Linked DNA regions of Arabidopsis thaliana. The main gene of each other region encodes a partner of the protein of the gene in region 2 in a complex. Each region holds a gene or a part of one and is shown on either strand. Other genes may lie near its edges.

The links.
Region 1: AT1G77750 (region 2) and RPL10B share a complex: the UniProt entries of both Arabidopsis thaliana proteins name them as parts of the small ribosomal subunit.

What each region holds. Positions count from the first base shown.
Region 1 is NC_003070.9:9,319,756-9,323,541, reverse strand, and holds RPL10B (Ribosomal protein L16p/L10e family protein), read right to left. Parts: upstream 1,893-3,786; 5' UTR 1,834-1,892; coding exon 1,824-1,833; intron 1,578-1,823; exon of another isoform or gene 1,471-1,577; coding exon 969-1,470; intron 883-968; coding exon 729-882; 3' UTR 514-728; downstream 1-513. Other genes in the region: AT1G26900 (Pentatricopeptide repeat (PPR) superfamily protein), read left to right, coding at 2,068-3,786.
Region 2 is NC_003070.9:29,229,460-29,233,375, reverse strand, and holds AT1G77750 (Ribosomal protein S13/S18 family), read left to right. Parts: upstream 1-1,648; 5' UTR 1,649-1,885; coding exon 1,886-1,954; intron 1,955-2,541; coding exon 2,542-2,766; intron 2,767-2,859; coding exon 2,860-3,030; 3' UTR 3,031-3,386; downstream 3,387-3,916. UniProt on the Arabidopsis thaliana protein: Located at the top of the head of the small subunit, it contacts several helices of the 18S rRNA.

The DNA of each region.
Region 1 (3,786 bases), about 20 Mb from region 2:
TTGCAAGAGAATGATTGGAGTTGCATTATGTGCAAAGAATTTCTTTAACAATCTAAGTTGAAGTACATTTAAATAAATAATGGATAGGGAAGAACAGTTGTGGGAACACTGAATTTTCTATATAGGGTTTTTGATGAGGCAACAGAGGATTTTACACAAACGCATCACAAACACATAAATTCTCAAGATATCGAAAAAATTCAATAGCAGAAAATAAAACCAGAATAGATCCCTCATAATCTTAGATAAGTAGGAGACTAATCGATAGATAAACAGAAATGGAAGAGCAAAGTGACGCACCTGTACTCATCTTGAAGCTAGGGATTCACCAGCAACGATGCTTTAGATTCATGTGTCAATGGGGAATAGCTGAATCTTACAGAAACAGTCCTTAAGTTTATGGGCCTGAACTTGGACCGTACGCAGGTTTACGTAATAGTAGTCATAATCGATATTGTTAACACTGAAGTAAACTATAAGAACCAATGGGTAATGCCGGGTTTCAAGGTGTGAGCTCAAGTGGTGCTAGAACACAAATGACAACAATGATTAAGCTCATTTCCAAATTTGCATAAATGAAAGATAACAAAACAAGTCTTTCATAAAACTTATCCATGAACAACAGAACCGCAAGAGAATTGTTTGTAACTGTCACTACCAACAAAAAAATAAAAACTGAGTATCTGCCAAAACTAGGATATCAACTCCACATCGACAAGTCATCTGCATCACTGTGCACCAGCTGACAAGAACGCACTTCCGGGCTGACGGTTAGCCAACGGACCATGGCAAGATAGGAACTTGGCATTTACACCATCAGGGACAATCCTCTTCTCTTGCCTTAGCTTTGTGTAATCAGCACGGTTAAACTTGGTGAACCCCCTATAATATTCCAACTTCAAACATCAACAAGAAGCCTTTTGCAAAACAAAAAGAAAGTAACATAAAAAAGCAAACACAAATCATACCATTTCCTGCTAACAATGATCTTTTGACGACCAGGGAACTTAAACTTAGCACGACGAAGAGCCTCCTGAGCATGATGACCATGAGCATCTTTGCACCTCACAGACAAAAGAACCTGTCCAATAGCAACTCTAGCACAAGTACCAAGAGCTTTGCCAAAAGCACCTCTCATACCAGTCTGAAGTCTATCAGCTCCAGCACAAGAAAGCATCTTATTGATCCTAAGAACATGGAAAGGATGAACTCTAATACGGAGATGAAACGCATCTTTCCCGGCAGACTTCACCATGTACTTGTTACAAGCAATACGAGCAGCTTCAAGAGCTTCACTTGAAACATTCTCTTTCTCCCATGAAACCAAATGAACACAGTAAGGGAACTCATCAACTCCTTTCCTCTTCATACCAACATCGTAAATCCTGATCTTAGGATCGGGAACACCACGACAGTATCTTGATTTAGGGTATGGCTTTCCCTTAATTTGACGGTAACATCTCGCAGGTCCTACACATTTGAATACATTTATACATTTTCAATAACAAGTTGAATCCTTTCTGATACGCAATTCAAACAAAAGCCTAATCCAAATGTAAAATTCCGAGCTTAAGCAAATCTAATAATGCGACTTGAGTGATTAGAAAAATCCATTTTTGACACTGAACCTAACAAAACGAACCTAATCCACATGTAAATTCCGAGCTTAAGCAAGTCTAATTTACGATTCCGGCGACAAAACTCGTCTCCAATGAGATCGAAAAACAGAGACCCTAGCAAATACGATATGCAGAGAACGAATCTATCTATCCATAGAAGATCGATTACATTCAGAGAAATAGATTATTTAGCAATCTGCTTACTTCGTCCCATCGCGTTGATTGTTGTTTCGAATCCTAGAAATGAAGAAGAAGAAGAAGAAGAAGAAGAAGAAGAAGAAGAAAGGCGTAACTTTTTTAAATAAGAAGAACAAAGAGCCCTAATTCTCTTTGCCACGTAACTGGATTTGGACCAAAATAAGGCCCATTAAGGAACTAAAGCCCAATTTGATATTTTAAGCTTAAAAAACAAATCCGTGTTTATTCCGGCGACTTTTTTTTCTTTCTGATGACATTGGCGATTACGTCACGGCTCAGGCGCAATTTCGTGTTCCGTCGTAGGAATCTTGAATCGTTGTTGTCTCCACAATGTCAGAAACTTATCAACGATCTAAGGTCTTGCAGAGACACCGTCGAAGTTTCTCGAATTCATGGTTACATGGTGAAAACGGGACTCGACAAGGACGATTTCGCAGTGAGCAAGCTTCTTGCTTTTTCCTCTGTACTTGACATTCGATACGCTTCGTCGATCTTCGAGCATGTCTCCAACACTAATCTCTTTATGTTCAACACTATGATCAGAGGTTACTCGATTAGCGATGAGCCGGAGCGAGCATTTTCTGTTTTCAACCAATTGAGAGCTAAAGGTTTGACCTTGGACCGATTCTCGTTTATCACGACTCTTAAATCATGTTCTCGTGAATTGTGTGTTTCAATTGGTGAGGGATTGCATGGGATTGCTTTGAGATCTGGGTTTATGGTTTTTACTGATTTGAGGAATGCTCTTATACATTTTTACTGTGTTTGTGGAAAGATTAGTGATGCTCGGAAAGTGTTCGACGAAATGCCGCAGAGTGTTGATGCTGTTACGTTTAGTACTTTGATGAATGGGTATCTTCAGGTTTCTAAGAAAGCGTTGGCTTTGGATTTGTTTAGGATTATGAGAAAAAGTGAGGTGGTCGTTAATGTCAGTACGTTGCTTAGCTTTCTTTCGGCTATTAGTGATCTAGGAGATTTGTCTGGAGCAGAATCTGCTCATGTGTTATGCATCAAGATTGGCCTTGATTTAGACTTGCATTTAATCACAGCTTTGATAGGGATGTACGGCAAAACTGGGGGTATCAGTTCAGCACGCAGGATCTTTGATTGCGCCATTCGAAAGGATGTTGTTACATGGAACTGTATGATAGACCAATATGCCAAAACGGGTCTCCTTGAAGAGTGTGTATGGCTACTGAGGCAGATGAAGTATGAAAAAATGAAACCGAATTCATCTACATTTGTTGGGCTGTTGTCTTCCTGTGCGTACAGTGAAGCAGCATTCGTAGGACGTACTGTTGCTGATCTATTGGAAGAGGAAAGAATAGCTTTGGATGCAATACTTGGAACTGCACTCGTTGATATGTATGCAAAAGTAGGATTGCTTGAAAAAGCTGTTGAGATTTTCAATAGAATGAAGGATAAGGATGTAAAGTCCTGGACCGCGATGATCTCGGGTTATGGAGCTCATGGACTAGCAAGAGAAGCAGTAACACTATTCAATAAGATGGAGGAAGAGAACTGCAAAGTGAGACCCAATGAGATTACCTTCTTGGTTGTGCTGAATGCTTGTAGCCATGGAGGGTTGGTAATGGAAGGAATCAGATGCTTTAAGAGGATGGTTGAGGCTTACAGCTTCACGCCCAAAGTTGAACATTATGGTTGTGTGGTTGATCTTTTAGGTCGAGCGGGGCAGTTAGAGGAAGCGTATGAGTTAATAAGGAACTTACCGATCACAAGTGATTCAACGGCTTGGCGTGCTCTGCTAGCTGCTTGTAGAGTATACGGGAATGCAGATTTGGGGGAAAGTGTGATGATGAGATTGGCTGAAATGGGTGAGACTCATCCGGCAGATGCAATTCTTCTAGCTGGGACACACGCTGTTGCAGGGAACCCAGAAAAATCATTAGATAATGAGTTGAATAAAGGGAGAAAAGAAGCTGGATACAGCGCCATTGAAATAGAATAG
Region 2 (3,916 bases):
TCGAAGTTGCACCAAAATGGTCCAAATATAATTTAAATTTGGCCACAAAACAACATTTTACAAACAAATTCAACAAACATGCATCGTTTCAAATTTTATTTATTCAATGGCGTTATTTGTTCATTGTAAATATTCTGTTTAACTCACTGACGAATTTTTTAATTTTTCAAAGAAGAACATTTTTGATATAAATAACATTTTATGGAACCACCGGTTAAGCTCGATGATTTTGAGTTTTAGTTTTGTCGTTTTGTGAAATCATTAACGACCTACATTTGATCCCTCATTACTTTAATAATTAGGAATCAAACATGATGATTAAGTTCACCAAAGACGTCTCTTATGGCTATTAAGAGTCAGACGCAAGGATGACCGGGGTCATTAAGACGTCTTATATTCAACCATTACTCCACTAATTGCTAATTAATCAGATTAATTTGTTTAATACGATAATGTATTTTGATTAAGTAGCTCTCAGCCAACAGGCAAAGGATAAATTTTGGATTATTCAAAGATTTGTGGGCTTCCAAAAGCATAGGGAATGGCTCCAACTACATTGGGAAATATATTATTTAAATCTCCATTCCCATTTGCCACAGTCGTTGGAGTTTATTTTTTTTTTCCAAGTGGAAGAATCAATTATAATTGTCGGAATTTCTAAATCCTACTTGTTGGAAAACAAACCCAAGCAAAATTAGTTTAGAAATGTACGGAAATCTACTATAGAATTATACTAAACATATCAATATAGCTTTGACTTTAAAATTAAAACAATTATTGTGGGCAATTAGTTAGATATTTTACCAGGGAAATAAGCAGCACTGTTCATGCACTCTCTTCTTAATTACTATACTTTGAAAGAACTTATATGTCACTGTATTGCCAGTTGCCACTAATATATAAACAACATTTCACTTGTTGACATCGCTGTAAATGAAGTTTGGAACGACCCTCTTAACAACTAATAGGGTTAATTAACCACTAAATTTTTCCAAGTTGTCATTTTGTCTTAATGTGAGACGTAATATCTAATACGTCGGTCTAACCTAAGAGTTGGTTCCGATCACAAATTTTTGAGAAGTACCTTTCAATAAAAAATTTGTTGTTATAATTTCACCGTGTTAAGTAAAAACTTAATTAGGAGCTATTTTCTATTTGATGTGAATTTGAAAATGTCTTCATAAAAATAGTATGGAAAAGGGAATGTAATTAATATAGACCACAGATACAAAAAGATGTCCCGTGCTTAACACGTCTGAGTCATTGTCGTACCCTTTTGCCAACTTTTTCAAGTTTCTTTCGTGAAAATGACTACACTTTTTAAAATAAATTGACAGATGATTGTTGCATGCATATAATATTCGCAAAATGCCAAATTCTACCCTTAACCAAATAATGTGGTAATGGATATAAAATAGTTAACATAAACAAAAATTTGGAAATTTTGAAAAATAGAGAGTAAATTGATTTTTTTTAAAAAGTTTGAATTGAAGTGAAAAAATATATAAATAAAAATAATAAACCTGTAGTTTGATATATATAGTTAGATAGCTCAAGTTTGAGTAACTTGAAGTCTTGAATTACTTTATATGTTTTTCTCACAGATTATATTATTTTCGTTCTATCCCAAGAATTGGGATAATATTCTCTATATTCGAGGCCTCTCTCTTAAGAAGTCGGTGTATAATCTTAAGCCCTTACTTGACACAAGGCCTCTATTAAAAAGCCCAATAATAATTTTTCTTTTCAAAGCCCAACACGTCAAGAGGAGAAAGAAGTGCGTTTGCGTTTGGATTGAAAACGTGGCGGGCGGTTGGAAACTGAATCTTAAACCCTTCACTCACATTCATCTTCACCGTCAAATCTCTGAAACTGAGCTTCGACGATGTTGGGTTTACGAAGATCTGCGACGACCTTGTTCGACATCAGCCAGTCTCTGCTTCGTAATGTTACGGTTAGTATCTGTCTAACACTTCAGCGCCACATTTGGGTTTTACGATTAGGGTTTCAATAGATCGAATCGATTCATCTCTCTTGGTATTAGATTTCATCAAATTCAAATCTATCGTCACCTAAAAATCTCTCTTTCGGTATGTAGTATTTCCGGGGTTGTTTCAAAGTCGTCTTATTGCTCTGTGATTTTGGCTTCTTACCCATTTTCAACAGTGCTATGTAGAAGAAAGAACAAATCTTTGAAATCGAAAGGTCTAATGTATAGTTCAATGTCTACATTATGAGATTGCCATGATATTATAGTCAAACGATTCTCCTAAAGCGTTTACTTTTGTGGAGCATTCTTTGTTAGTTCTATGCAAATAAAGTTCTAGGAATGATAATTCTTAAGGAAGCATCTCAAATGTTGGCTAGTTCTTGTCTCAGGTTAAAACAATGTTTTGCAATTTGCTTTTAGTTAGAATTGTTGACTTGCTTAGCTTTTTGACTAACTCTGTCTCTGTGAAGCAAAGTTTGATCAAACCCATTACCTTATTTGATTTCTCTCTTTAGATTATACATCAATTTATGTATTTTCTTTGTCTACAGTTTCATGGGTTACGAGTCCAAGGAATTCGTGTGGGAAACGCAGAGGTTCCAAACAATAAGCCACTCAAAACCGGTCTTCAAGAAGTTTATGGAATCGGCCGCCGTAAATCTCACCAGGTTCTCTGTCACCTTGGAATCACTAACAAACTTGCCAGAGACTTAACTGGAAAAGAACTCATTGATCTCCGTGAAGAAGTTGGCCAGCACCAGCATGGTGATGAACTGGTATAATCCTTTTATCCAATCACATTTGACTTTCTTATCATGGTCTTAAATCTATTCCATCTCTCAAACCGTTTTTGTTGTTCGATTTTAAAGAGGAGGCGTGTTGGATCGGAAATACAGAGACTGGTCGAAGTAGATTGCTACAGAGGTAGTAGACATAGACATGGATTGCCTTGCAGAGGACAAAGAACCAGTACTAACGCTCGCACCAAAAAGGGCAAAGCCGTTGCGATTGCAGGAAAGAAGAAAGCCCCTCGCAAGTAAACCTGTCTTTCTATCTATTCTCTGGGATTCATAAGTTGTAATCCATGTCTTATTGTTTACAGACATGGCTTTGTGTTATTTTTGGGATGAAACTGATCAAATAAGTAAAACATGATTTGTCCAGTCTTTTTTTGTCATTGCCATTGCCATTGCCATTGCAGAGGAAGAAGAATGCTTCAAAACTGTTCTGCAATACTCTCTCTAGCTTCTATAGTCTCTCTTTGTGTGATTTGTTATCCTAAAAACATGGATTGAAATTGAGCCCAGTTTCAATTTCTTTTTTTGGTTTTGTCAACAAGACTAATTCCAAATTTGTCTTCAGCTTATTGTGTAATTCACATTTGACCTTATATTAGTGGCCCATCGTAAGAAGCCCATGTAATTATTTTGTAGCCCATTAACAATTCGTGTTGGATTCAACAATGCTATAACGTCAACATATTACATAAGTTACATCAACAAAATAGATACCCAACTTCATTATTTTTTTTTTTTTTTTTTTGCTCTGATAAAATATACAGCAAAGATATGATACGGGTTGGGACACGAATCATGGGGAACAAAATAACGAAATCGAATTGGAATCACAAGAAATGAGACCAAGTGACTTGAAATTGATATATCAGAGAGATAAATTTGGGAAATAGACTAATCGGAAGCCCTACTAGACCCGATCACATTTATTTACCAATGATCGCATTTCCTCTCCACTCATTTGTTTGTCTAAATGATCCTCCACGTAATCTTTCATTTTCTAGCTTTTTGAACAATAACTTATGTGGGCCTTGAAAATTATATGGGCCTATTTTGAGTGACCCACAACCATGTGATTCATCTTTTTTTTTTCTATTTTTTTTTTTGTCTAAATCGTAATTGCACTCGTGAT